Macaca fascicularis: one gene and its partners. The protein of the gene in region 6 interacts with the protein of the main gene of each other region in a pairwise test. Links are inferred from orthologs where the notes say so. Each region holds a gene or a part of one and is shown on either strand. Other genes may lie near its edges.

The links.
Region 1: the proteins of NUTM1 (region 6) and FAM161A interact in binary tests that used the Homo sapiens proteins (3 or more experiments, as listed by UniProt). The two-hybrid records come from large-scale screens. The link is inferred for Macaca fascicularis from reciprocal best matches to the Homo sapiens genes NUTM1 and FAM161A.
Region 2: the proteins of NUTM1 (region 6) and ZMYND10 interact in binary tests that used the Homo sapiens proteins (3 or more experiments, as listed by UniProt). The two-hybrid records come from large-scale screens. The link is inferred for Macaca fascicularis from reciprocal best matches to the Homo sapiens genes NUTM1 and ZMYND10.
Region 3: the proteins of NUTM1 (region 6) and SAMD4A interact in binary tests that used the Homo sapiens proteins (3 or more experiments, as listed by UniProt). The two-hybrid records come from large-scale screens. The link is inferred for Macaca fascicularis from reciprocal best matches to the Homo sapiens genes NUTM1 and SAMD4A.
Region 4: the proteins of NUTM1 (region 6) and ZNF277 interact in a two-hybrid assay, tested with the Homo sapiens proteins (2 studies listed by BioGRID). The two-hybrid records come from large-scale screens. The link is inferred for Macaca fascicularis from reciprocal best matches to the Homo sapiens genes NUTM1 and ZNF277.
Region 5: the proteins of NUTM1 (region 6) and CCHCR1 interact in binary tests that used the Homo sapiens proteins (3 or more experiments, as listed by UniProt). The link is inferred for Macaca fascicularis from reciprocal best matches to the Homo sapiens genes NUTM1 and CCHCR1.
Region 7: the proteins of NUTM1 (region 6) and LMO2 interact in binary tests that used the Homo sapiens proteins (3 or more experiments, as listed by UniProt). The two-hybrid records come from large-scale screens. The link is inferred for Macaca fascicularis from reciprocal best matches to the Homo sapiens genes NUTM1 and LMO2.

Annotation. Positions count from the first base shown.
Region 1 is NC_088387.1:60,064,820-60,069,086, reverse strand, and holds the start of FAM161A (protein FAM161A), read right to left. Parts: upstream 2,801-4,267; 5' UTR 2,782-2,800; coding exon 2,599-2,781; exon of another isoform or gene 1-2,598. UniProt on the Homo sapiens protein: Involved in ciliogenesis.
Region 2 is NC_088376.1:113,378,520-113,382,805, reverse strand, and holds the start of ZMYND10 (zinc finger MYND domain-containing protein 10), read left to right. Parts: upstream 1-1,486; 5' UTR 1,487-1,628; coding exon 1,629-1,720; intron 1,721-1,981; coding exon 1,982-2,090; intron 2,091-3,353; coding exon 3,354-3,470; intron 3,471-3,587; coding exon 3,588-3,641; intron 3,642-3,759; coding exon 3,760-3,897; intron 3,898-3,997; coding exon 3,998-4,086; intron 4,087-4,185; coding exon 4,186-4,286. UniProt on the Homo sapiens protein: Plays a role in axonemal structure organization and motility. Involved in axonemal pre-assembly of inner and outer dynein arms (IDA and ODA, respectively) for proper axoneme building for cilia motility.
Region 3 is NC_088381.1:122,421,576-122,425,625, reverse strand, and holds the start of SAMD4A (protein Smaug homolog 1), read right to left. Parts: upstream 2,801-4,050; 5' UTR 2,599-2,800; exon of another isoform or gene 1,571-2,598; intron 1,430-1,570; 5' UTR 1,009-1,429; coding exon 813-1,008; intron 637-812; exon of another isoform or gene 533-636; intron 420-532; exon of another isoform or gene 386-419; intron 233-385; exon of another isoform or gene 61-232; intron 1-60. UniProt on the Homo sapiens protein: Acts as a translational repressor of SRE-containing messengers.
Region 4 is NC_088377.1:153,813,481-153,816,980, forward strand, and holds part of ZNF277 (zinc finger protein 277), read left to right. Parts: intron 1-623; coding exon 624-712; intron 713-983; coding exon 984-1,066; intron 1,067-3,500. UniProt on the Homo sapiens protein: Probable transcription factor. Involved in modulation of cellular senescence; represses transcription of the tumor suppressor gene INK4A/ARF, perhaps acting via the Polycomb group (PcG) complex PRC1.
Region 5 is NC_088378.1:141,510,780-141,514,867, reverse strand, and holds the start of CCHCR1 (coiled-coil alpha-helical rod protein 1), read right to left. Parts: upstream 2,801-4,088; 5' UTR 2,168-2,800; coding exon 1,925-2,167; intron 1,720-1,924; exon of another isoform or gene 1,654-1,719; coding exon 1,587-1,653; intron 1,509-1,586; coding exon 1,295-1,508; intron 1-1,294. Other genes in the region: TCF19 (transcription factor 19), read left to right, coding at 4,042-4,088. UniProt on the Homo sapiens protein: May be a regulator of keratinocyte proliferation or differentiation.
Region 6 is NC_088381.1:10,645,633-10,648,138, reverse strand, and holds the end of NUTM1 (NUT family member 1), read right to left. Parts: coding exon 745-2,506; 3' UTR 501-744; downstream 1-500. UniProt on the Homo sapiens protein: Plays a role in the regulation of proliferation. Regulates TERT expression by modulating SP1 binding to TERT promoter binding sites.
Region 7 is NC_088388.1:31,709,523-31,713,579, reverse strand, and holds the start of LMO2 (rhombotin-2), read right to left. Parts: upstream 2,801-4,057; 5' UTR 2,649-2,800; coding exon 2,642-2,648; intron 2,519-2,641; coding exon 2,293-2,518; intron 1-2,292. UniProt on the Homo sapiens protein: Acts with TAL1/SCL to regulate red blood cell development. Also acts with LDB1 to maintain erythroid precursors in an immature state.

The DNA of each region.
Region 1 (4,267 bases), on a different chromosome or scaffold from region 6:
AGCCACCGCGCCCGGCCACTGCACTCCAGCCTGGGCGACAGAGCGAGACTCCGTCTCAAAAAAAAAAAAAAAAAGAAATCAAGATGGAGACCCAAGCCAACCAGTGAAGAAATCAGAGCCTCTTTCCTGCACTCTTCCTGCCTTTTTAATGCCTCTTCCCCAAGCCCTGTGCGCCTGGCTATCAGACCCACTGTGGCAGCTTACCCAGCTTTACTTTTAGATCCCTCATGTGTGGTGGTCTCAGAACAGTATCAGATTCTTAAGACTTGGATTCCTTCTGTTTTTTGTAGGATCCTGTCCTTTCCATACTAGATTATTGTATAAACTGATCCCTCCTAAGGTAATAACAGTTTCTAACACAAATTTGCAGTTGCCGGGCGCGGTGGCTCAAGCCTGTAATCCCAGCACTTTGGGAGGCCGAGACGGGCGGATCACGAGGTCAGGAGATCGAGACCATCCTGGCTAACACCGTGAAACCCCGTCTCTACTAAAAATACAAAAAATTAGCCGGGCGAGGTGGCGGGCGCCTGTAGTCCCAGCTACTCCGGAGGCTGAGGCAGGAGAATGGCGTAAACCCGGGAGGCGGAGCTTGCAGTGAGCTGAGATCCGGCCACTGCACTCCAGCCCGGGCTACAGAGCAATACTCCGTCTCAAAAAAAAAAAAAAAAAAAAAAAAAAATTTGTAGTTTAACAGGGCACTTTGGAAGCATATCTGCAACTTAGAAGTGACTGACTCCTTTCCCACAGCAAGCCAAAGTAGTTTAATCTTTGGGAAGGCACACAAATGACACTCCCACTGGCATCTCGTTTATATAGATTACTCTTTTATATAGATTGCTCTTTAGAGGAGACACACATTCTTTCATTTGGTTCTCATAGAGCTGAGATGGGAAAAAGAGACAATTATTATAGTTATTTTACAGATGAGGAAACCGAGATTTAAAGAAAGTGTGTCCTAACACCACCTAGGGAGTGGCAGGGAATGGATCCTAATATGTAACTCTTAAATAGTTTTTCTCCATCACGCTGCCTTGTTGCCTACTGAAAACTGTGTTGAGGGGTAGGTTATAATGAACAAAATCAGTCCTAGCACTCTGATCCTGGTTCACATTCAGGGTCTCAGTCTACCTTACTCTGGATAACTTCAAGTTGTTTACTGGAGAAAGACTGGTCACAAAAGGTGTTGCTAAAGATGCTCTCATTAACAATTTTATGGTAGATTAAAGAGATTAGAATTCCAAAATATCCAGGGATTTCAATTAGTCCTCAATCATAAGTTTTGTGTTTGAGAAGCTTTGGACACATGGTATTAAGAAACTTTTTCTGGCCGGGCGCGGTGGCTCAAGCCTGTAATCCCAGCACTTTGGGAGGCCGAGACGGGCGGATCACGAGGTCGGGAGATCGAGACCATCCTGGCTAACACGGTGAAACCCCGTCTCTACTAAAAAATACAAAAAACTAGCCGGGCGAGGTGGCGGGCGCCTGTAGTCCCAGCTACTCGGGAGGCTGAGGCAGGAGAATGGCGTAAACCCGGGAGGCGGAGCTTGCAGTGAGCTGAGATCCGGCCACTGCACTCCAGCCTGGGCGGCAGAGCGAGACTCCGTCTCAAAAAAAAAAAAAAAAAAAGAAACTTTTTCTATCTGCAGATTGCTAGTTTAAATTCAAGATTCCTTTTTTTTTTTTTTTTTTTTTTTTTTTTTTTTTGAGACTGGGTCTGAGATCTCAGCTCACTGCAACCCTCGCCTCCCAAATTCAAGCAATTCTCCTGCCTCAGTCTTGCGAGTAACTGGGATTACAGGCGCGCATCACCATGCCCGGCTAAATTTTGTATTTTTAGTAAAGACGGGGTTTCACCATGTTGGTCAGGCTGGTCTCGAACTCCCGACCTCGTAATCTGCCTGCCTCGGCATCCCAAAGTGCTGGGATTACAGGCACGAGCCACCGCGCCCAGCCAAGATTCCCATCTTTTAAGTGAATAGAGCAGATGGCAGACCCTGCCCTCCACCTGCTAGACTGGTGTCCACAACAGATTTAACACTGAAAACTGATCAGTGAAAAGGCTGTCTCGCTGTACCCTAAGGAGCCGTTTAGGAAACACTGAAACCTCAGTGATTTGCTTATCTGTATCCGTGTCTGATTTAGCCAGTGAACACGTGATGGTTTTAAACACGCCTCTCTCCAGCATTATGTTGAGATCCACTTATAACCAAGATCTTAAGGTAATAACGAAACACACCTGACAGAACAGTTTTCCTCAAATTATAAAATCTATCTATCTATCCATCCATTCCCGAGATGCTAGAGAGTAAAGAGTAAAATTCTATACTTTGCACTCGCCAGAAACAGAGTAACATAAATGTTGTCTAGGAAACTTTTACAACTGACTCTCTGGTGAAAATTAAAACACTTTTCAACGCCTCGATTTAGAGTATTTTTCGTGAGCGTAGAGAAGGGGCTGGGCCAGGACCACCAAGTAGGGAGTATGTGCACAGGGTCCCGCGTTTACCAGCCTGCCCTCAGCTGGGCGGGGACCCGGACAGCCCTCAGCCAGCACCCAGCCCGTGCGAGGTCCCAACCCACGTCCCGCCCCAGTATTACCGACGCCTCAGCGGACTGCGCCACTTTCTCCTCCTCTTCGTCCTCCAAGATCGCCTCTGCTGCCGCCAGGGCCTGTAAGGGGTCTTCGCGTTCGTACTGGGCGACCCGCGCTCTAGTGATGGGATTTACAGGAGTCTGGAGACTGGAGGCCACCAGCTTTGCCGCTCGGTGGGAGGCGGCCATCGCCCCGCCTCCGGGACCTGAGCGCCTGCGCTGGCCCGGGGCGGGAAAGCTGGTGCGGTCCCTGGCGACCCGGGGGCTCCTAGCTAGGGAGCCGGTTGCTATGGGCGCCGTAACTGGGGACACTACAGGAGCCGCCAGGGACCAAAAGTCACACAAACTCCTCTCAGGCTGCCAGAGACCCGAGTCGGGTGCTTACTGGATCATGGCGGTCAGTACCGAGTCTGTTTGCTGGTTCCAAAGGTTGGCAGGCTGAACAGGGCACTTTTCCTCTCCTTTGCGTTTAACCGCCTGAACGCAGACTTCTCACATTATACAATGAAACAACTGCTTTTGTGAAGAAAAGAGCGCTTTTTTATTAACTGCAATAATATGTTAGAAGGAGACGGTTGATGGAGGAGACGGCGGCGGAGGAGGAAAGCAGGGCGTATTACTGGGTGGCGGCCTCTGAAGAGTGGCAAGGTTGGCGTCGCGCTACCTAACATGTCTCCCGCGGGAGCCAGCGTGGGAAGGAGGGAGGTGCATTCTACTCTGATTTACTTGAGGGCTAGTAGGAATCCACCAATCAGAAGGAGGCTCCCGGTTGTCCCTCTCGCGTTTTTCTTGGCCTGACCAATAAAAGCCCAGAGTTGGGTGGTGCCTGACCCTCCCACTAATGAGTGAGGGTGCAGGTAGTGTAAACCTGGCGTTTGCTTTGGGTTCATCAGCTTGAGAGTGACAGGATTGAACGGCGCGAGTGCCCAAGAGTCATCACAGACACACCCATCTCCCTCATCCGTATCTTCTCTTTCCACTCGGGATTTGGACGCATCAAATGGCGCCTTCCCTCTGCACCACGTGGTCGTAAGAGAAGCCAAACCTCAAAATAGCGGACGTGGTGCAGTCTCAGGCATCTGCTCCATAAGCCCCTGCTTACTGAGGCCGAGGCTGCCGCTCCCTATCTACTCCCTCCCTATCTACCCCTCTCTATCCTTTGCCCTCCTCCCGCTCCCCAGCCCTAGGACAGGCCCCCTCCGGTCAGTATTTTCCTCGTTATGCGTTGCACATCGTCGAGAATCCATCTCTAAGGTCTGAGCCCTTACCAAACCTTTGTTCTCCTGTATGGGTGTGAGCACCAGCAAAGTCTCCCACGTCCCCACTTCCTTCAGGCTGCTCTTTGTTTTGGCTAAACAGTTCCTTCCAGTGCTGGAACAGATGCTGGCTGGGTTCTAAGCAGAAGCCAGAGCTAGAACCATGGGATATGGACCGCCAGGTATGGCCAAGTGTCCAGGGGAGCAATTTCCAGTCAGTCACGGCAGCCAGTTTTGTGGCTACAAAACTGCCTCAGCCTCCGGAGTGGCTGGGATTACAGGCGCCCTCCCGGGAGGCGGAGATTGCAGGTAGCCCGGATCTTGCCTCTGCATTCCAGCCTGGGCAATAAAGCAAGACTCCGTCTCAAAAACAACAACAAAAAAGTATTGATAAGGAATTAGAGCACATGAATTATAAA
Region 2 (4,286 bases), on a different chromosome or scaffold from region 6:
TCCAGCCTGGGTGACAGACTGAGACTCTCAAAAAAAAAAAAAAAAAAAAAAAAGGGGGTTGGAGGCAGGGACTGCTCTGGATTAAACGGCCAAGAAAGGCCATACTGAGATGTAAACTGAGCCCTGAAGGAAGAGTATTCCAGGCAAAGTGCAAAACCCTGAGGCAAAACCTCTTTGGAATGTATGAGGTAGGTCCAGGGAAGAAAGGAGGAGAGGAAAGAATCCAAGTCCCGAGGTACAAGACAGGCAAGAAGTAGGTCTTGCAGAGCTGCTGGTAAGCAGCACCCGACCTAGCATTTTGAGGGCCAGAGGTAGTTGCAGAGCCCCTCTCATGTGAGGGAATGATGCCTATACACTTTTTTTTTTTTTTTTTTTTTTTTTTTGAGACAGAGTCTCCCTTTGTTGTCCAAGCTGGAGTGCAGTGGTGGAATCTTGCCTCACTGCAAACTCCGCCTCCTGTGCTCAAGCGATTCTCCTGCCTCAGTCTCCCGAGTAGCTGGGACAACTGGTGTGTGCTACCACACCTGTCTAATTTTTGTACTTTTTTTTTTTTTTTGAGACGGAGTCTCGCTCTGTGGCCCAGGCTGGAGTGCAGTGGCCTGATCTCAGCTCACTGCAAGCTCCGCCTCCCGGGTTTACGCCATTCTCCTGCCTCAGCCTCCCAAGTAGCTGGGACTACAGGCGCCCGCCACCTCGCCCGGCTAGTTTTTTGTATTTTTTAGTAAAGACGGGGTTTCACCGTGTTAGCCAGGATGGTCTCGATCTCCTGACCTCGTGATCCGCCCGTCTCGGCCTCCCAAAGTGCTGGGATTACAGGCTTGAGCCATCGCGCCCGGCCTAATTTTTGTACTTTTAATAGAGACAGGGTTTCACCATGTTGCCCAGGCTGGTCTCAAACTCCTGACCTTAAGTGATCTGCCCGCCTCGGCCTCCCAAAGTGTTGAGATTACAGGCGTGAGCCACCGCGCCCGGCGTGATACACACTTTTAAGGCTCCGGGGCTGTCCGTGAGGATCAAGCGTGGAAGTAAGTCTACAGAAAAGGCTGCCGCAGTTAACCCACGACAGGTGATGACAGTCTGGACATAGGGAGGATGGAGAGAAGTCGTGCGCCCTGGCAGTATTTCAGGAGCCAACTAATGGAGCCGGGACGCGAGAAACAGAGGAATCAGGAAGCCATAAGGAGGAGGTGGAGCAGCGGGTGGGTCAAGATGCCGCAGCAGCAGCAGGAGGAGCTCGTGGGGTCGGGGTTACCCCCATCCCCGTGCAAGCCGACTTGGCGTCCGAGGGCAGAGTCCAGACCACAAGGAACTGGAGCTCAGGAGAGACTCGTGGTCCACATCGCGAGAAAGCTGTGGGAATCCAAATACTGTGGCGATTGGCAGCCCCGTAGGCGAGGCGGGCTGGAGACCCGCCCGGATTTAGGCGCGAGCCACCTCCAGGGGCGGAGCCCAAGCCGCACTGCGCAGGCGCGGCTAACCCGTTTCCATGGCTGCGAGAACTCACGCTCCCCAACCGTCCCACAACTGTCCTGTCCCAGACTTTGGCACCGTCGGGGTCCGTCGTCCCCGAGTGTGTCAGCATCCCCACCCCGGCTGCTGCCCAGGATCCGCCGGACCCCGGCCTCGATATGGGAGACCTGGAACTGCTGCTGCCCGGGGAAGCTGAAGTGCTGGTGCGGGGTCTGCGCAGCTTCCCGCTACGCGAGATGGGCTCCGAAGGGTGAGGCACCCGGGTCAGGCGGAGTCACGGAGTCATTGTCCCTGAGTGGGGGAGCTGGAGCCTGACATGGGGGGAGGGGCTGCCCAGTGTGGAGGGGCTCCCAAATGGGGGAGCAGAGTGTTCCGAGACAGGAATATAATTGTTCCTGAGCCCCCTGTGTCCCCTCAGGATCAGGTTAGGCTTCAATAGGATCCAGCCCCCATCCCCACTCCAAATGCACACACGTGGACCCACATGCACTTACACAACCCTCTGAGGCAGGTGGAACCAGCAGCACGAGAACCTGGAGAAGCTGAACATGCAAGCCATCCTCGATGCCACAATCAGCCAGGGCGAGCCCATTCAGGAGCTGCTGGTCACCCATGGGAAGGTACCCCGAGGTCACAGGCAGGGTTCCTGCCTTCCCCCATACCTCACCTACTCTAACCCTCAGGAGTCCCCTGTGTGCTTTTCCCCTCTGGCCTGGTACACCTGTCCTCCCTGAAGGGGAGAGAGGAATGTGTTACATGTTTCATTTTGTGTCGCTGTTGGACAGGACTCTGGCACACCAGGCTAGGTACAGGGCATGAGTTGATTAGGGAGAAAGCTGTAGGTCCTAAAACAGCTTAGGCTTCGAGGGGAAGGCCCAAATGCTAAAGGCATCTGTGAATTGACTGTAAGGCTGGGGAGGGGGTGGGGAGGGCAGGAGGGAGGGGAGATAACTTAACTGGAAGTAGAACTTTGGCATGGAAGGAGGCAGCCTTCCTAACATGAGAGGGGAAAGTTAGAAACCAATGAGATGGCTGGCTGGAACATGGACCAGGGAGTGTCACCAGCAGATGACCTGAGATATCAATTGACCAAAAAAAAAAAAAAAAAAAAAAAAGCCAGGCATGGTGGCTCATGCCTGTAATCCTAGCACTTTGAGAGGCCAAGACGGGTGGATCACCTGGGGTCAGGAGTGCAAGGCCAGCCTGACCAACATGGTGAAACCCTGCCTCTACTAAAAATACAAAAATTTGCTGAGCATGGTGGTGCACACCTGTAATCCCAGCTACTCGGGAGGCTGAGGCAGGAGAATCGCTTGAACCTAGGAGACAGAGGTTACAGAGAGCCGAGATCGTGCCACTGCACTCCAGCCTTGGTGACAAGAGTGAAACTCTGTCTAAAAAAAAAAAAAGAGTTCCTTTGCAAGAGAAAGGTGGAACTCATACAAGGGGATAGGATAAGAAGAACAGGGCACTGTGAAGGGTCCTGAGTAAGAGTGAGGCCAAAGGCACACAAGAGCCTTAGAGAACCACAGGACAGGGACAAGAGGGAGGGCATGAGCAGAAGGGCTGACTTGAAAGGGACGCCTGAATGGGCGGGGAGAGGATAACGGGGCAGGTGCAGGCAGGGCAAGGCAGTCTGGGAACTGGGCAGGAGCCAGTCACATAAGCATGAGGGACATCCACAGAGGTGTTGGGAGCAGCTGGAAACGAAGGTCCGAAATGCAAGAGAAAAGTCAGGAAGGATAGCCATGGGGTTTGGGATAGTTTAGGGGCCCAGCAGTGTTTGGGGAGATCTGGGCTGAGCTGAGCCAAGCTGGGGATGGGAGGGTTGCCAGGCAAAGGTAGGCCCATCTCATCCCTGTCCTTTACCCCATCCTTCAAAGGTCCCAACACTGGTGGAGGAGTTGATCGCAGTGGAGATGTGGAAGCAGAAGGTGTTCCCCGTGCTCTGCAGGGTGGAGGACTTCAAGCCCCAGAACACCTTTCCCATCTACATGGTGGTGAGCTGGGCCCCTGGTTCATACCTCCTCCCACTCCTTCAGAGGGCTCTGGACTGGGGAGGGGAGCTGGTAGCCCCTATCCCTACCACAGGCCCTGTCCCTCTCTTTGTCTGTCAGGTGCACCACGAGGCCTCCATCATCAACCTCTTGGAGACAGTGTTCTTCCACAAGGTGAGGGACTATCTCTGCCCATGGGCCACAGTTTCAGGTCAGGGCCTGGCAGGAAGGGAGGTTGTATCTGTGTGGGGAGGGCATCAGACACAGAAAGTTTCCCTCCCCCTTTCCCCAGGAGGTGTGTGAGTCAGCAGAAGACACTGTCTTGGACTTGGTAGACTATTGCCACCGCAAACTGATTCTGCTGGTGGCCCGGAGTGGCTGTGGTGGCCCCCCTGAAGGGGAGGGGTCCCAGGACAGCAACCCCATGCAGGTGGGTTGAGGTTACCTAGGATTGTGAAAGCCTAGGTCTGGGTTCCCCAAGGCCTGCACAGGCAAGGGTAGCCCAGCATGAACACTGTGTGACCTCGCAGGAGCTGCAGAAGCAGGCAGAGCTGATGGAATTTGAGATTGCACTGAAGGCCCTCTCAGTACTGCGCTACATCACAGACTGTGTGGACAGGTGGGCAGTCCGACTGGGCCTGGGCCTACCGTGGAGGGCTGGAAGACTGGGCCTGTAGCCTGCCTCTGCTCACCTCCTTCACAACGTCCCTGCCCCTAGCCTCTCTCTCAGCACCTTGAGCCGTATGCTTAGCACACACAACCTGCCCTGCCTCCTGGTGGAACTGCTGGAGCATAGTCCCTGGAACCGGCGGGAAGGAG
Region 3 (4,050 bases), about 110 Mb from region 6:
TTCAGTCTGTCACCACCCACGCTAGCAAATAGGAAACTGCTGGACCTTTCGACTATATTCACTTTCCATACTAGTTGAGGTGTCTGTAAATACTAGCAGGGTAATATGAAACGATTCTGTTCTATTCAGTAAAGTTTCCTGACGAGAAGCATTAGGGAACCCACTTCATGCCTGTCCTTTCTCCAAGACCCTTTCTACAAGATCTGTATCAATATGGATAATGTCACGAGCGGTAAGCTTAACCCCATAATACACATACTGCAAATGTCATTTTACTAGTCTGTAGCGTCACCTGCATATTATTCTGAAGACGAAGCTCTAAAACCAGAATATCCGTGGGGAAAACCGAATAATAAAATTGGATTTTCATGTACTCCCCACACAGCCTTATCCAAGCCTGGCTTCTGAAGGGCAGTCCCGGGCATCTATCATGTGTTGCTGAAATCCAGCGAGCCACGTTGCCCAAAAGAAGAAGGAGGAAGGAAAAAACACACACACCCAGAAAATCCAGACTCTACGTGACGTGACTTACTTATTTCCCAGGAAACTGCATGAGAGAAAAATCAATCATTCATGCTACGGTAGCTACCACACGGAAGGGGCTGATGGAGTTCACAGTGGACAAAACCCCAAAGCGGCCGGCGGAGGTAAGTGGGCGGGGAGGGGGGGCGGGTAAAGGAGGGAGCGGATTGCGAGGGCCTCGGGGGCCGCGCGGTCCGGGTCCTGGCGGAGCGGCTGGCGGGGGCGGGCCCCGGCCTGGCCCGAGGCAGGAAAGCGAGGGGCGGGCGGGACGGTGGCGGCCGCGCACTTACCGGGGCTGTTGGCCTCGCGTTCGAGGACGTGCAGCTCGGCGCAGTCGGCCAGCGAGTGCTCCAGGCAGAGCTGGAGGAAGCGGGCCTGGGTCTGGCTCACGCGCTTGAGCAGCGACAGCAGCGCAACAGTCTGCTCGCACTCGTTCCAGCCCTTAAACCAGCCCGCCAGCACCCCGACCTGGTCGCGAAACATCATGGTTAGGGGGCCGCCCTCGGTCTACAGAGCCCCCTGGGCGCCCCAGACCGCCCCGCCCGCCCCAAAGTTTGGCGGAGCCGCAGCCCCGCAGCCGGAGACGCGTTCCCGTTCCAAGGTGGCTCTGGTGCCCGGACGCTGCAGGTACTGCCTGGGCTCCCGCCTCTCTCGTCTGGTTTCAGTTACGTTCCGGTGGTTCTGGCTGATTTCCCCAGAGACGATGACAGACAGTAGCACGGAAATGTTTCTTTAAAAAAAATAACGACTTTTTAAAAATCCCCCACAAGGCACACAACTGAATGAAGAATGCTTTCTCCCCCCTTCTTGCAGCTTCGGGATGGTGATTTCCGGCGTCCTGGGGTCTCCTCCCCACTGGGCGGCAGCTCGGACCCTTCACGCCCGCATTCCCGAGCGGCGATCACCACTGGAAGGAGAAAAAGAGCTGCAGTGAGACCTCGGCCAGCGGAGGAGCGCGCCCTGGGGGACCAGGGCATCAGAGGGGGTCGGGGGTGGGGGCGTCCCGCGGAAGGTTGGGTTCCCCGAAATCTGGCCGCCCCCTCCGCACCCGATGCGGGAGATGGGTTATTCCCGGCTGGGGAATAGCGAAAAGCCTGCTTCCCAGGTGCGGGAGGAGACCCCGCGGCTTCCTGTTGCTGCCGCTGCCAACGGCTGGTGCTCCCCTCACGCCCCGCCCGGGGTGGCCTCGGGCGCCGTGCCTGCGAACGCCAGCACCAGCAACAGATCTTCCCCGCGCAGAAAACTTGCAATGCGGCTGCGAAGGGGCGCGGGGGTGGGGGTGGGAGCTAATGCAAAGCAGAGGCGGAGGCAGCGGCAGCCCGAGTTCCTTCCTCCTCCTCTTACTCCTCCTCCTCCTCCCAGAGAAGCAGCCGAGTGGCTGCAGCTCCATCTACAGCAACAGCCAGCATCTCCACCGCCAGGCGCCCCTCTGGATTTAGGCCGTGAGCAGCCGCGGCAGCAGCTCGAGACAAAAATAAACTCTCCCCACCCAAAGCTCCGCGCCCAGCGGGCGGCGGCGCAACCCAGAGCCCCGGCTCCCCCGCACCGCGCCGCGCCAGCCCACCCGGGAGGTCTCTCAGGGCCTGCTCTGGCCGGAGTGGTCAGTGTGCGCGCGCGTGTGCGTGTGTGTGCGCGCGTGTGTGGCAGGCATCCTGCCGCCGCCGCCTACGGGCGGGTCTGTCCGGCCCGGCGCCTCGCCCGCGCGTCGCAGGCCGAGGGTGGCACAGCCCCGGGCACACGCCGCGCGCAGGGACTGCCGGGGTCCGCAGCGCTACCCCCTGCGGCAGGCGGGGCGGCCTCGCGGGGAATGCGAATCGACGCCGCAGGCACACGCCCCCCAAAGACAGCAAAGAAGAAAGTTCGGCTGCGGGGGTTCCCCCAGTCCCATCTCGGTTCTGGTGGCCGCCGCCGGCGGGGAGAAGAGCACAGCGGCTCAGCCTTCAAGGGGCGACTCGCTTCCAACAACACGCTGCTTCCGACTCCCAGAACTTCTCGGGCGGAGGGGGAAGCCCCCGGGGAGGGGACCCCAGTGACCGGCGGGTCCCCCGCCGAGGGCCGTAGGGAGGGAGCGCTCACCTCTGCGCGGCTCATCCCGGCGGCACGGGGGCCCTTGCGCGGGTCCGGGACCGCGGCGGCTCTCAGCGGGGCTGGGGGCGCCCGGAGCGCGGGCCGCCGGCCATGCCGTCGGGGCGGGCGGCGCGGGGAGAGTGCGGCGCTTCGAGTCGGGGCCGCCGCAGCCGCTGCTGCTGCTGCCTCCAGTGTCGGCTCGCGGAGGACTGAGTCGCCCGAGCCGGAGCTCCCCACATGCTACTGATTAACATACACCATTACATCATGGGCTTGGCAGGGAGCGCCCGAGCGGGGGGAGAGGAACCCGGGCGGCGGCGACGGCACGCGGGGGGAGCCGGGGGGAAGAACCCCGGACCCGGCGCAGGGAGGGGGGACGGATTCCTAAGTGGGGACCAGAAAAAGGGGAGGGGAGCGGAGTGGGAGGAGCTGGTGGCGCAGAGGGGTCGGGTAGAAGGAACCTCGGAGAGGAGCGAAGAAGTTCGGGGAAGAGGACGGGTCCGGGTGAATTTCTTCCCGCGGCCGCCTGCGTATTCTGGAGGGGCCGGGACACTCAAGCCACTCGAGCCCCGACAGAAAGGGACCCGAGGGCGCTCGTGCGGGGGCGGTGCTGCCACCCGCTGCTCGTCCTTGGGAATGTGGTTCGTCAGCTCGGGTGACCCTCGGCCCTTCTGGGGCCCGGGGGTGGCCGAGCTGTGTGGCCCGCGGGCGGTGAGACCCGAGGTCACTGCAGCAGATGCTGGGATGGTTTCCGGGGATCGTGGAGGCGAAGGGTTCAAGAGGCTGAGGGGCAATGCACAGGGTTGGACGTGCCCAGGCGCTGGGCTCCGTGCCGCCCTAGTCCAAGGGCCTGGCCCGGGTCGGGTGCCAGATGCCCTTTCCTCTGGCGCAGGCTCCTAGAGGCCGGCCCGGTGCCTGGCTGAGTCCCACTCTTCCCCGGGGAGGCGGCCCAAATCCTGAGACCGGTCGGGGGAGCCGTGCCTGGCGCGCGGGCTGCGGCTTCGGGCCTGGAGCGTAGGCGAACGCCGCCCTGGGCGACAAAGAGGCGGGGCGAGGCCACCTGTCGGCGCTCAGGCGTCGCCAGACCTCACAAGCTTCACCTGGATCTGGAGAGTACGCACGGCAGCGGCCACACGGGGGCTTCAGGTCCTTGCCGCGTGAGAGGCGAGGAGGGCGCGGCGCCAAGGCTGAGTGGTGCAGGGTGGGCTGCGAAAGTGCCTGATAGTCTTGCAAGTAAAGGTTTGGTTAAAAATACACTAAACCCTAAAAACCTCTGTACCTCCTGATATGGGTTGAATAATCGCAAGGAGGACTTGATGACTAAATCTGGTCTATCTCCGTGATTTCAGAGGAAGCACTGCTCCCTCCAGCAACTTGAGGCTTTGTTTATACAGGAGTAATTCTGAGAAGGCAATGAAACGTGTGCTTCAGACCAGCCTTTCCTACTCCTGCTAATCCACT
Region 4 (3,500 bases), on a different chromosome or scaffold from region 6:
AGGCTTTGGTTTTTAATTTAGCTGGTGTGCTGCTTCTAACTCTGCTCATTAGATACAAAAATTGTAAGTTGGGCTATTTTTCCAAAGTCTAAATTTGCCTCATTTCAGACTCAGTGTGGACATATGGAACTTTTCTATCTTATATTATATTGATATTGATTTTAGACTGGTTTCTTACTGCATTATTCTTCTGACCTCTGTTCTTTGGATATATAAGATAACCACTCAGTTTTCTCTTTATTGCAGAGTGTGTGTCATAGCCTATTTAATCATTATTGCATTTTAAAGACACATAAACTTAGATGCGATTTCAGAAAAATTCATTATCACATAAAAATATTTCATTTTAACTTTCCTATATGTCTGTTTATTGAATTTTGGGATAGTAAAGTTTGGTTGTTTTCATGCCCTTACATGGTAATTCCTTTTTATTAAATCTTTATTTGATACTTCTATAATGCTCCACTGCCTTTGTATTCACAAAAAACTGCTAGAAAAGCTGTTTTAAGTTAACATTTGATTTAATGCGTTGGGATAATTGAATGTGCTTATAGATTCCTGTCATTCTAAAGCAAATAGTGTATTGAATCTTCTCATCATTCCTTATTTTGTATTGTTCTAAGGTACATTTTATATTGGAGGAAAAGGTTCACTGAACAGCCTATCACAGATTTTTGTAGTGTGATAAGAATTAATTCCACAGCTCCATTTGGTAAGTGTACATCCTGGCTACCATCTTTTCCCTACAGTATAAAAATTCAAAGGAATAATCTTACTGTCTTATATTAGAATTGCTTTTACTTTCATGATAGAGAAAATTAAATTGATGTGTTTATTTTGCCTAACTCGAATAAAACTAAAACAGTTCTTTGCCAAAGAGATCCTAATAGACACACACATCTGTAATTTTTACGAAATAAGTCCTTCTGGGAAAAAAATGGTAAATATCTTTTGTCTGATTTGTTTTCCTGATCTCTCAACAGAAGAACAAGAGAATTATTTTTTGTTATGTGACGTTTTACCAGAAGACAGAATTCTTAGAGAAGAGCTTCAGAAGCAGAGACTGGTAAGAATTGTTTTTAAAGGGTGAATAGTGTCTTGAAAATACATATAAATACATATAAAATCTTTTTTTTTTCTTCTTTTTTTTTTTACTTTTTGTTATGGAAACTTTCACACAGGTAAAAGAGGAGACAATACAAAAAGGTCTTAAAACAGAAAAAAGTATACACTTGACTGAAAATTAAAGCATTTTATGTTGAAAATGCAGAGAGAATTTTTGGCTTTGTTTTGCTTCCTGGATTATCTCTAAAATAACAACAGAACTTACACATTTTAGTGTAATTTTAGCTGCCTGACACATGCTAGGGTTCAGTAGTCGTGGAAAAATGCCCTCAGCTAAAATTGAGTTGAATTGATTAACCTTTTTTTCTCCCCTTCACTGGAATGTGCTATGCACTAGCGTTTTTTTAATTTCCCTTTATGAATTAAGCATATGGTTTAATCTACATAGTAGCCTTTCTGGTTTTCAGCCTTAACCATAAGCAAGCTAATTTGAAAACCTCAGCATATTTAACCTTTAAAAAAGATGATAGCACATACAAGCATGAAAATTTTTATTTTATTTTATCTTATTTATTTTATTTATTTATTTATTTATTTTTTGAGATGGAGCCTCACTATGTTGCCCAGGCTGAAGTGCAATGGCGCGATCTCGGCTCACTGCAAGCTCCGCTTCGTGGGCTCATGCCATTCTTCTGCCTCAGCCTCCCGAGTAACTGGGACTACAGGCATCCGCCACCACGCCCGGCTAATTTTTTGTATTTTCAGTAGAAACGGGGTTTCACCATGTTAGCAAGGATGGTCTCGATCTCCTGACCTTGTCATCCGCCCGCCTCGGCCTCCCAAAGTGCTAGGATTACAGGCGTGAGCCACCATGCCCAACCGAAAATTTTTATTTCCATTAGTTCATCAGAAAATAATGTTTTTAATTGTTAATTTTGTTTAAAAGCACATGGGTTCTCATCATTTGTAATTTAATCTCGACTATTACTTGAGGTTGACTTGCTGTTCCTTTAGTGATTTCTCATAAATCTTTCTTGTATCTTTGGGCTTGGCTAAATATGTTATAAGAGAGAGATGATTTAAATATTTGTGCTATATCCTCAAGAGATCTAGGAGAAAAATAAATACTATTTACCATAGTCATATAATTTAAGAAAGTCCCTGGAAGCATGTTTTATTTTGTAGACATCCCAAATGATTTTTTATTCCAGTATGGGAAGGTGATACCGATGGATACTGATTTATATGTAAGAAAAGTTATGCTTTTCCTGTACAGCAACAGCAGTAAAGAAACAGGACTTCCTGAGTTTCTCTTCTCTCCTTACAGCAGTGTCTTATGAAATATGTAAAACAAGGGTAAATGTACTATCATGTCTTATGAATGTTATTTGTGTGCACTTATTCGTAATTTTCAATTTACATGAATTTTCTCACTGTTGCTAACCGTGGCCTTAAGAATGATCAAAAGCCATCAAGGATTGATTTATAAGAACTCAAACCCTACTACTTCAGCCATTCTTGTTCTTTAGTATGCAGAATCTTTACCATATGTCTGTAGATGGACTTAGGTCTCTAAAAATACCTACATATACTGCATTTAAGTTACCTTTTTTACTTTACAGTTTGATAAAGCAATACATTTAATAAAAGTGAGCATTATGCCAGCTTACAGAAACAAAATAAGAATAAAAAGGCAATTAATCCATACATGTTCATTGAATTTCTGCTTAAGTTAGATGCCTGTACAAAGAAGTACAAGAGTACAAGGCATACACAAGAGTGTATAGTCTGGAGAAGAAAGATAAATATGTATTCTTACCTTGGTAGTAGAGATAATGATAAAATATCTTGCTGGGCTTATGAAGATTAAGTGACATGTAATACACTTAGAACACTGCCTGGCACACGGAAGGCACTTAACAAATATTAGCCAATAAAAATAATAGTAATAATGCTGTGTCTTAACAATGAGAAGGATTTGGATAGTTAAGAGAGTTGTAGAGAAGGGAAGAAAGATACATATGCATCTAAATGTTCAAGGTGTATTCAGAAAAATCGAGTAAAAGTCTACTCTGGCTTAGGTGGAACATTTTTTATGGGGAGTAGTATAAGATAAATTTGAAGAGGTAAAATGGAGCTAAATTGTGGAAATCCTTCAGTGCCAGAAACTTGACTTTGTAGTAATAAAGACCCATTAATGTACCCTCATTGCCCATCAGTGGCATGAAGAAAAGAGTAAATGTAACTGTGTATAAATCCATTTCAAGCTGTCAAACCCTGAGAAAGATCAGACCAACTTGGGGATTGGAAGTAAGCTAACAATGACTGATGATCAGCCACAAGCCATGCCTTGTATTTGGTTCTTGCTTCATAGCACCCTGTGAGGTGGCTATTAAATGCCATTCTATTTATGAGTAAAATGTGGCAGCTTAAGG
Region 5 (4,088 bases), on a different chromosome or scaffold from region 6:
TCTTATTTATTTTTTATTTTTAGGCCACACATTTTAAGTGGAAAGGTTGGAAGAACAGAGACTTCTCAATTCTGATTTAAGGGCAAGAAGTTTGAGGGAGGAATGGGCATAGAGAGAGCTGAGCTTCCAGTATCAATATGGTGAGGCCAGGTGCTAGTTAAAATGCATTTATTGAGTGTTAGGTATACTTTATGAGGAGTCTGAGAGAACAGTACATAAATAACATAGTGCCAGCCTTTGGAGACATTGTCTACCAATATCACGTGAAGTTTAATCTAGCTTGGAACGTGGCTCCTGAGGCAGCTGTCTCTCTGACACCCAGGACCACAGGAGATTGTTGTTGTTGTTTTTAGAGACAGGGTATCACTGTGTCACCCAGGCCTCAATGCAGTGGCTGGATCATAGGTCACTGCAGCCTTCAACTCCTGAGCTCAAATGATCCTACCACCTTAGCCTCCCGAGTAGCTGGGACTACAAATGCATGTCACCACAGCTAGCTAATTATTTTCTGTGGAGACGAAGTCTCACTTTGTTGCCCAGGCTGGTCTTGAACTCCTGGGCTCAAGTGATCCTCCTGCCTCAGCTCCCAAAGTGCTAGGAGTATAGGTGTGAGCCACCATACCTGGCCTTTTCTTTATTTTCTTCATTTATTTTTAAGTATCAGGGATTTGTAGGCTAGGGAAATTGACTTGCCAAATGTCCTCTAGCTGGTAGCCAAACTAGAAAGAGAGTCTCTGTCTCCTGACACCCAGTCTAGTGCTCCTTCTTCTTCATCGTGCTGCTGCTTCTAATGTAATCCTACTCTGGAGCAAAATGGCAGAATGATATCCCAGTACATCTGGGAAGACACATGAAACAACAAGAATAAGAATGTTTACAGACAATACGACAGCATGGCCAGCTCCCATAGCATGTCCTCTGTAAAGGCTTTCTTCCATCAGAATGAACCCACACTGCCACAGTCCTGGGTCTCTACTTCTAGTTTGCACTTCTTCATCTTGCCTCATACTATGCTTTACCATCAGTTGATGGTCAATCTATCTCCCCTCTTAGGATTTTAGATTCCTTATTAATTACAAATTTAAGTCAGGATTTGTCTTATTCATTATTGTTATCCTCATCCCTAGCACCTAGCACACTGCTTTATTATCTAAGCACTGCAGGAACTAATAATTGCTTGCATAAAAATGAGTAGGTTCTGGAAACTAGGGCCGAAATAGGGTAAGGAGTTTATTCCAGTGAAGAAGGGTCACTAGCAAGCCAGCCTGAGAAAACAGCGAGGATGGATCCCTACCTGCCTCTCCGCCCTGGCTCCTGCCTGTCACTGGAAACATCCTGTTTCCACATGGTCACTTGAGGTCTCTGGGTGTCTAGTCGCCTCTCTGAGACATCTTGATGGCCTGGGGGTTGGACCAGGGGAATGTCTGAGAGCCAGGTGGGAGCCATTCTCGGCAGAGTTGAAAGGGGCCGAGCTTGAAAATGGGAGGGAGGAATCAGCCCAGTGGAACCTGAAGAATTACAAAATCAAAGATGGTCAGTTTCCCAGGCAGAGACAACCACCACTCCCCTTGTCTGGTCCCACTGACCTGAAGGTGGAAACATCTCCACATTATTTGAAGGCTCTAGATTCTGTCTCCAGCCATCTATGTTCCCCTGGACAATAGGAGAAACAAAGACACTCCAATTCAATTTTCAGGCCACCTTCCAAAGAGAAAGCCCCTACAATAACCAAGTCATAATCCTTGAATTACAGCCAGGTCCACCCGATGCTCAGCTCTTTTCCTACTTCCCCAAAGAAGTAGGAGATACCCCAAATTCACTTGCTTGTCTCAACCTGGTTCCTCAGGGAACCCAGGCAACTATCAAGTGGAGAGAATTTACTGAAAAAGACAGACCGAGAGGGGCTCTGAGGCTTTACTCATACTTTCAGGATTCTGGGCAGTGCCTTTACCCTCCTCCTTAAGTTTCTATGGTCCCTGCTGCCCCTGGCCAGAGGTGAGAAAGGAGGTACACAGTGCAGGGGTCTTGAGCGCCATCTCCAGAGTTCTCTCCATGGCTCAGCAAGGCCTGGGGGAATCCCATCCAGACACCACCAGGCCATGACTCTTGGGTCCTTCCCTATTAAAGTGCTGGCCCAAGGCCTGGCCCCAGCTGAATGTGGCCACATGCAGGGCTAGACCCTTCCCAAGACCTTGGGAATCCAAGCAGCCTAGATCCCCAGGCAGAAAAGCCAGCGTCCTGACATCTCATCCAAATCTTTACTGCGGCTGTCCTCTCAGCTTCTCTCTACTATCCTCTCAGCTTCCATGCCTGCCGCCCGCCTCCTCTTTCTCGAGTCCTAACACATAGTGGGCACTTTAAGACCTTCCCCCCACCCTCCCACCCTCATTAATCTATTTTTTACCCGAATCTGGGATCCCTACTCCGGTCCCTTTTTACATCCTAATCTACTTTTTTCTGAAGGAATTGTTCTGGTCCTCACCCTCACCCCCATCTCTCAATAGTCTGCTCTCGCCCCCTGTACGCTAGCCGGCTCTGCTCTCCCCCCACTGCTCCCCTAGATACCCAAGGCTGTTCACCCAGTTGGCCCCTGAGCTCTTAGGCTGTTCTGATCTCCTCATCTACCCCTTCACCTGGCCCCTGTTCCCCCTTCCCCTTTGGACCCCTTGAACCCTCCCAGCACCCCCGCTCAACCCCTTCCCGCCCACAACCGACTCTTCCCGAACGTCCCTTACCCACCGCGAGAACCCCTACTGCGCCTTGACCACACCCCCTACGCCTCGCTCCGGGCCCCGCCTCTGCCTCGGCCTCTGACCGCGCCTGCGCAAGGCGGGGGCCCTAAGGTCCTATCTCCCTGTAGGGAGGAGGAAAGGTGTACGCAGGCGCAGTGGCGTCTAAATCTGGGCCCACAGAATGTGTCGACGCCTGTCCGCGCCCAGGCGGCTCCTCCCCACTGCGGGAACCCGGGAAAACTTGTGAACTAATCAGAAAAAGCGGAAGGCGGGAGATCTTAGGGAGCCGTCCAATGGCGCGGAAGAGAGCAAATGAGCTGGCCAATCAGAAACGGCACGGGGGCGGGCTCGCTCGGCGCGAAGTTCGGGCCCGGGAATTCCGAAGGAGGGGTAGGCGCTGCCCGCGCGCCGAGGCCGCGCCCCTCCTGGCCCCGGCTTCCTGGCTGTCAAACAGCTGCAGCAGTATCGGCTACAGCAGAGGAGCCCAGGGGGTCCCAGGACCCGCGGCACAGGCTGGCACTGCTTGAAGAGGAGGCTACTCGGAGACTGCACCGCGCTGGTAGATCCGAAACGGGGCTGGGGCCGAGAGGGAAAAGGCCGGGTATGCCTTGCATGATCGCGGGGAGCCCCTTCCTGTTTTTATCCCACCTAGAGAAGCCGGGAAGTAGGGGTTTAGGTCCAATTTGTTGGAGTACTTAAGAACTCGTTTGCACTTCCTTTTGGGGGATGACAGTAGATTCATTGCCCTCGGAGGTTCAAACTAGTTATGAGTGAGGGATTGGCCAGAAGATCGGGGCGCAGGCAAGCGGGAGTGCTCTATTAGGATAAGCAGGTTTGACAGGAAGAAGCTGCTCTTCTCCGAATTACACAGAGGTGATGTGTTCGTACTGCACGTAGACGTGTGTATAACAGGACCTCCCCCCCGCGCCCCGCCACACCGACACACACAGGAGCTGCCTAAAGTATCCTTGCCTTGCAGATTGGAGGCTCCCCAGATATTTTGCGACCTGAGGATCCAGCTCAAGTGAGGTGCCACAGGACGTGGTCCTGAGTTTGCATTGCACGGAGACCTTCCTGGAATTTTTCATTTGCAAGTCGGCTTAACAACCGATTCTGCATTGAGTCCTAGGCTGCTTGCACTCTGAATTTGGACTATTCAGGTAGTGTGCTCAAAGTTGAAACTGCACACAGCACAACTCAAGTTTGCATCAGACTGGTAAGCGAACTTAAGCCAGCGGTGCGTGGCCCAGGAGTGGGAAAGGAAATGGATCCCTAAAGTGGAAGAGGTGGTGCAAAGGGGGCACCGCCCATGCTGCCCTGCTTCCAACTGCTGCGCATCGGGGGCGGCAGGGGCGG
Region 6 (2,506 bases):
GTGCACACCTGTAGTCCCAGCTACTTGGGAGGCTGAGATGGGAGGATTGTCTAAGCCCAGGAGGTTGAGGCTGCAGTGAGCCATCATTACGCCACTGCACTCTGTAGTTTAGGCTACAGAACGAGACCCTGTCTCAAAAAAAGAAGAAAATTAGATCTCTGTCTCAGAGATCTAACAGGTAGAAAAGCATCTTTCTATCTATAGACTTAAAGGGAGGCAGATAATTAAAAGATGCCCAGATAAGCCTTCCTGACACCAAGTCCAGGCTTGTGAAGAGGGGATGTATAAAGCAATCATTGGAGATTCCTCAGTTTGGGGACTTATCACAGCCTGAGAGCCAGTCGGTTGCCAGGAGGAGGCTGCAAGGAGCCAAGATAAGGCTGGAGACAAGGTAAGCTCTATGGATTTGTAGAATCTAAGACCTACCCCTACAGTCTTCTTTATAACATCTTACCCTATCTAGCAGCAAAGACATGAGTACAGAAAAAGGCACTTTGAGAGCATTTTCCAACAAAAACACTTTATTCGTTTTCTTTCTCTATAGCTGCTTCCAAAGGTGACTCCCCCTGCAGCCTAGCCAGTCTGACCTCTCTCTCCATGCTTGCCACTTTTGCAGAACAACAAAACAACATTGGGATGAGATTCAACATTGGGATCTCCACTGGTGGGCAGCAGGGCTGGAATCTACTCTGGGGCACCCACCTTTAGGGACTGGCAAGTGGGGTCAGATGGTCCTGCTGCTCCCTACTGGCTACGACGTCGTTTCTTCCTTCTGCCTGTGGCAAAACTGTCACACCGCCTTTTACGAGGCTGTGAGGATCGAACTACTCCCAGAGCTAGGGGTTTCTCCCTGGGGACCCCAAGTTGAGCTCCTGAGTGGGATCTCTTTTCAGTAGGGGCTGGACCTCCAGCTAGAGCTCGCTTCCCAGACTTGGCAACGGGGCATGGAGGTTTGCTGGGGCCTTTTGCCCCGGGAGGGAGCAGGTGGGATGCTCTCTGGCTGCCCTGACCTGAGGCATGGTGAGGACTGAGAGGATGCCCCCTTGGTGAGAGGCTAAGTTTAGAGGCCAAGAGGTAAGCAAAGTTGGAGAGTTCCTCATCCTCTTCCTCTGCTTCCTTCTTCTTTTTCTCCTTTCCTTTGGCCCTATCTGCTGACCTGCGTGTTTTAGTAACAGAAGTCTCTCTCAGAACTATGGCGTCCCTGGTTCCCCATCTAGGGAAAGTGCTTCCAAGGCCTTGGTGAGATGAGGTTTTGGGGGTCCCAGTTGTGTAAGACTCCTGACTCTCTTGTAAAGGAGCAAGGTTTTTAGGCTTGGACAGGTCAGGATCCACCCTGCCTCCTCCTTGGGGGTCACAAGAATTAACATTCAATGGGCAGGTGTCCTTGCTGACCCTTAGTTGGAGGCCACAGTCATCTTTAACACCTAGTATGTTGACCGGTTCTATGGTTTCCAGCAGAGGGGAAAAGGAATTGCCTCTGCTCCCTGCCTCTTGGCTGGCTTCAGGCAAGGAGGAGGCATCCTCGGTCCCCATGATAAGGACACTGTCTTGGCATGTGGGCAGAAGGGTTTCTTTGGAAGACCCCAGTGTGGAACCGCCAATTCTGCTTTCCAGCAATGGGAAGCAGCCTCCTGCCCGCAGATCACTGGGGTCCCCTGTGGTTTCACGGCTCTGCTCTTGATTTTCTTTGGACCTCAAGGCTGGGCTGTTGGCCCTCAAAGGTCCTGGCAAGCTGCAATCGTTTCTCTTTTCTAGGGCAGCTGCCGCAACTGTGCCTCCACAAGGAATCACACTGCTCTCCATACCCCCAGGTACTATGGTTTCTCCAGGACCCAGGGAAATGCTGCTGCTGGAGCCCAGTGCCTGGCAGCCTTCCTGACACTCAGTTACACACGCCTCCGCTTGGAAGCTCTCTATGACCTCCTCTGTGTGTACGGGCAGCTCCAAGTCTACAGCAGCCATCTCACCGCTCAGCCAAAGTCCTGGGCTGAGAGAGACGTCGTCCCTGTCCCCAGCTGCTCTAGGGGAAGGATTCTGATCATAACTCTGAGCCATGGGGGTACCTCTGTCATCTCCCCACATGGCTCCTGCAGAGCCTTCCTGGGACACTGCTAAAGGCTCCTTCCCTTGAGGAAGCTCTGCACGGCCCCCCGTTTGTTGTCCTTTCTGCGATCCCAGGACCTGCTTTTCTAACCCTCGTCCCTGCAGAGGAGCCAGCTCTGCAAGTCCAGCATCCAAACTGGGAGTGCTGTCAGGCTGGAAGCCTTCCTGCCAACAAAGGGGCAGAGCCTCTGAAGTCCTATCAGCCACCAGGCAGCGCCCAGGCAGCCCTGCACCTCCTAGATGGCCATCTCGAAGTCGCGATACCTGGTTTATAACCTTCCCAGACCCTCTCCTCTCCATACCCAAGGGTCCCGGAGTTCCCTGGAGAGCTGCAGGCTCTGGCTGCAGGTCCCAGCTGCTGGGGGATGGCAGAGTGTTCCCATCCCTGTGCATCCCTCTGGGG
Region 7 (4,057 bases), on a different chromosome or scaffold from region 6:
AAAGGACTGTGAAAGAGGATAATTTGCCCTTAGCTGGTGCAAAACTGCCTGGAATTCAAATGAACTGCTCTTGTTACTCACAGGGGAGGCAGTGGGGGCCACCAGTGGCATAGCAAGGGAATCTCTGTGTTCATGAATTCTGGCTGGCTTTCTGTCCAAATGTTTCATTTGCATATAGCTAGGCAAGTCTCCATCTGTAATTTGGAGATGCTGATTGTAATGACCCAAGTCGGCTTTGAGGAAGTACACAATGAAGCATCTAGTAGGATACTGGACAACAGGAGGAACGTAAAGTAAAAGAGTTATGGTGATGGCCTGAGATGAGATGGAGAAGTAAAGTATAAGATATTGGCTCTGTCTTTCTATAATTAATTGATAATATCACATTATACTTAGTGGGCAATCCAAGACAATGAATGAGGTTGATTCACCCTCAAATTAATATTTTATATTCTCCCAGACCCTTATCTTGAATATTACACCTGAGTATCACTTCAGCCTGGATTTCTGGGATAATCATAACAATTTCTAAGGGGGTGGAGAATGTGCTGCTGCAATTTCTCAACTAGCTTGTCCCTCTTTGATCAGAAACTATCTTCGCTGGGCAAATAGTGAAGTGAAGGAAGGAGCTGGTGAGCCTCCAGCAGTAGATACCTGCTGTGTTAGGAAGTTAGGATGTTTCAGTTTTCTAACCTCAGTGAAAAAGCACAAACTTTGAAAGACGCAAACTTCCTTCAGGGAAATGAAACCTTCAGATTTACCTTCTATTGAAAGGATTAGTGACTAAATTCTGCTGATCAAAAAGGCATGAGGCACCAATTCATCCAATTCACTCCCTTATTGTGTTACTATGATCTTGCCCAGTCTCTGAAACTCAAAGCTCAGTTGTAATTTTAAGTTTATTTTTAAAAAAGTGATCAAACCACCCTTTAAACCCATTGTTGACATAAACATACTTTTAAAAAGAAATGTTATTTTTCTCCTGAGAATTTGTTGAAGGAAGTGGGGGTTTTTGCTACAACAAACCTAGCTCATTACAGAACTGGTGTCTTAACCTTCAAGACGGAATAGTGATGTTTATATTCTCATTGGATGGTGGTACTTCCTGTGTTTTATGAGAACATGCTGAGCTTTTATGCTGCTAACTGAGGGTAAAACCCAGGTAAATAAACACCATAGAAAGCCGAAATTGAAGGGTGTATGTGTGTGTGTGTGCGGTATTTCAAGCAGGAAAGCACAATTCTTTTAAACCAGGAAAAGAAAAAACAAAACAAATGTCTCTTAAAAGCACAAATGGACAAGTCATTAACCAGCTCCTTTGGTCTTGTGTAACAAATCCCTTCAAAGGATTAGAGGGGGACTTCAAAGGAATAAAAATTCTCAAAACCAGACAGCTAATGACTCTTAAAAGGGCATTTGCGTTGACAGGAAAATGATATCTTAAACACCCCTTGCTACCCATGTTAACACTAAAGAATTGGTGAGAGATAGAAAAACATTCCAAACCAGTACGAGGCTCAGAAAACAGATGCGGTCAATGCTCATTAGAGCTCTGGTTCCCTGACCCCAAACGCTTTTGAGACTATGCTAAAAACTACGAGACTCTACTCCCTAGAAGAATTCACCTGTACACAAAATGGTGCATTAACTTTCGAGGTTCACAGGCCCCCATCGGTGGACCCCGAGGAGGGCTACACGTACTCAGATTTACTCCGGATTTCGCTGCTCTAGAAATCCCCGGAGGCCCAGAGCCAGCTCCGAGGTGGACCGTCGGACCCCTCACCCGCCCGTTACCCGCGCGGCTGGCAGCGGCTCCACCTGCGGACCGGGGAGGCGGCCGCTGGGGACCCTGGAGGCCTCCACTTGGAATGTTCCCCTTTCCAAGACCAAATGGACAAAGAGAAAGGGCCGAGAAGGAGAGGTGAGAAGGGAGCCGAGTCAAGCATGGAACGCTCTCCGGACTGCACCTGCACGCCGCCAGGCTCCCCTTGTGCCTGCTCCCGTGCAAACTTTCTGGCCCGCGGTGGCTTTAGGCAGCGTCCTGATAGCCTGGAGTGGCCCGCAGAGGCGCCGAGCCGACCCCTCTCCCTGCCGCCCACCGCCCAGTCCCTCTCCCAGCGCCCCCGAAGTCACCCGGGAGGAAGAGGGAGCCCAGCGCTCCGCACAGGGGGCCAAGAGCACGCCGCAGGCGCGCACCTGGAGTCCCCTCGAGGGCCGCCCGGGTCCCCCAGCCGCTCCGGGACGCGAGGCCGTGGACACCGGGGGTGGCAGGGGCAGGGGCGCCGCACTTACTCTGAAGGGTCCAGGCTCTTCCTTTCGATGGCCGAGGACATTGGGGAGGGAGGCGGCGTGCCGGGCGGCAGGGGCGCTCCCTTTGTGGCGCGGGGCTGGCCGGCTGCCGGGGCTCGGACCCCCTCGGGTGCTCGGGCGCCGCCGCCGCCGCTCCTGCGCCTCCGCTTGCTCCGGCGCTCCGGCGGCGAGCTCGCCCCTCCGCGCTCAAGGACAGTCACCGCGCTCCCTTCAAATGCCAAAGAGAGAGAGCGAATCACCGGGCTGCGGGCGCGCCGCGGCCGAGGCGGGGGCCGGGGCGCGCAGCCTGGCCCTGGGCGGCTGCAGCTGCTGCTGCTGCTCAGGACTTAACCTTCCATCCCGGTCCCGCCGCCTCCGCCGCCCGGTCCCTCTCGCGCGCTGTCGCCGGCTCCGCGCCGCCCGCGGGGATGGTGCACGCCCGCCCGGCCGCCCCGAGCCCCTCGCACCTTCGGCCCGGGTAGCGGGCGCTGCTCGCCGCGGAGGGCAGAACGGGGGCGGCGGCCTGGGGGCGGGGAGGGGACTGTGCGTCTCTCCCCGGGCTTCCTCCTCTCTCGGGAAGGTCTATTTTCGCTCAGCTTCCCTCTGTCTCTGGTTTCATTTCCTTTTTCCTGATCACGATTCAAATACAATAGAAGGAAATCACATTTAAAGAGACAGCTGCCCGGTTCCCCCACCTCCCCTTTTTTCTTCTTCTTCTTCTTTTTTTTTTTTTTTTTTTTTTAACGGGGCTCCTGGGGATTAGCAATACAAACAGCAGCATCAGGACTGACTTGGCTTCTTAAAGGGGCCAGTGTCGGGGACGGGGAGATCCGCTCAGCTAACACCTCTCCTTGGAGAGGAGGCTGGGCAGCCACTAAATAATTCTTCAGGGCTTCCCCCCTTCAGCCTTTCCCTTTTGGTTTAACTAAGGCAGAAAGTAACCCACGAACAGCTCGAGCAAGCAAGAAAAAACAAGAATGTGAAATAAGCACCTACAGAAATGCAAGTGTTCCGAGTGGATTTTGAGCCCGTCCCAGGTTCGAGATCCCAGGTCCACGGACGCCGAGCACCGGGATGCCCCGGACAGCGCGGCTCTGCGGGCTACCGGCTGCGGGCTCCAGGCTGCGGCCGCGCTCTGCAGAGGCGATGGGGGTGCGCGAGCCGGGACTGCACGGGCTGGGGACGCCTGAGCAGAGTCAGGGCAGCTAATCCCAGAGGGAGGGTGGCTGGGAGGGACTTCGTGGGGCCAGGGCTCCTCTCAGTAGGCTGGTGTCGGAATCCCCTCCCTCAGCACCTTTCAGAGAGCGGACTCCTGCGGTTAAACTGCCCCCCATGTAAAGTGCCAGTAGTACCCCGACCAGAGAAAGTGTTTTTTCCAGTGATCCAGAACAGTATTAGGGAGATTATTTTGCCCTGGGTCAGGCACAGAGAAAGAAGGCGGACTTGATTTGGGGTTTCAGGCTTCCCCTCTCAGCCTCCTTCTAGAAAGAGGTAGGAACACAGAGGGTAAGAGAGGGGAGGCCAATAGTCTGCCCTTCCATGGAGAAAACGTTTGTCTCTCCTGGGCCTCAGAGGTCCTTGAAAATATCTGCGTTCAGAAACTGAAAGGCCTATTTGTGCGTGATGCCAGTCACTAAGGCTTGCAAAGAGGGAACGTACTTTCAGGATCCATAGTTTTATATGATCAGTCTGGATCATAGGCATACATTTTTGTTCCCATTTTCAAGATGGCACATGGGCCTGGATGAGCTCACCCTGAAAGATGGTA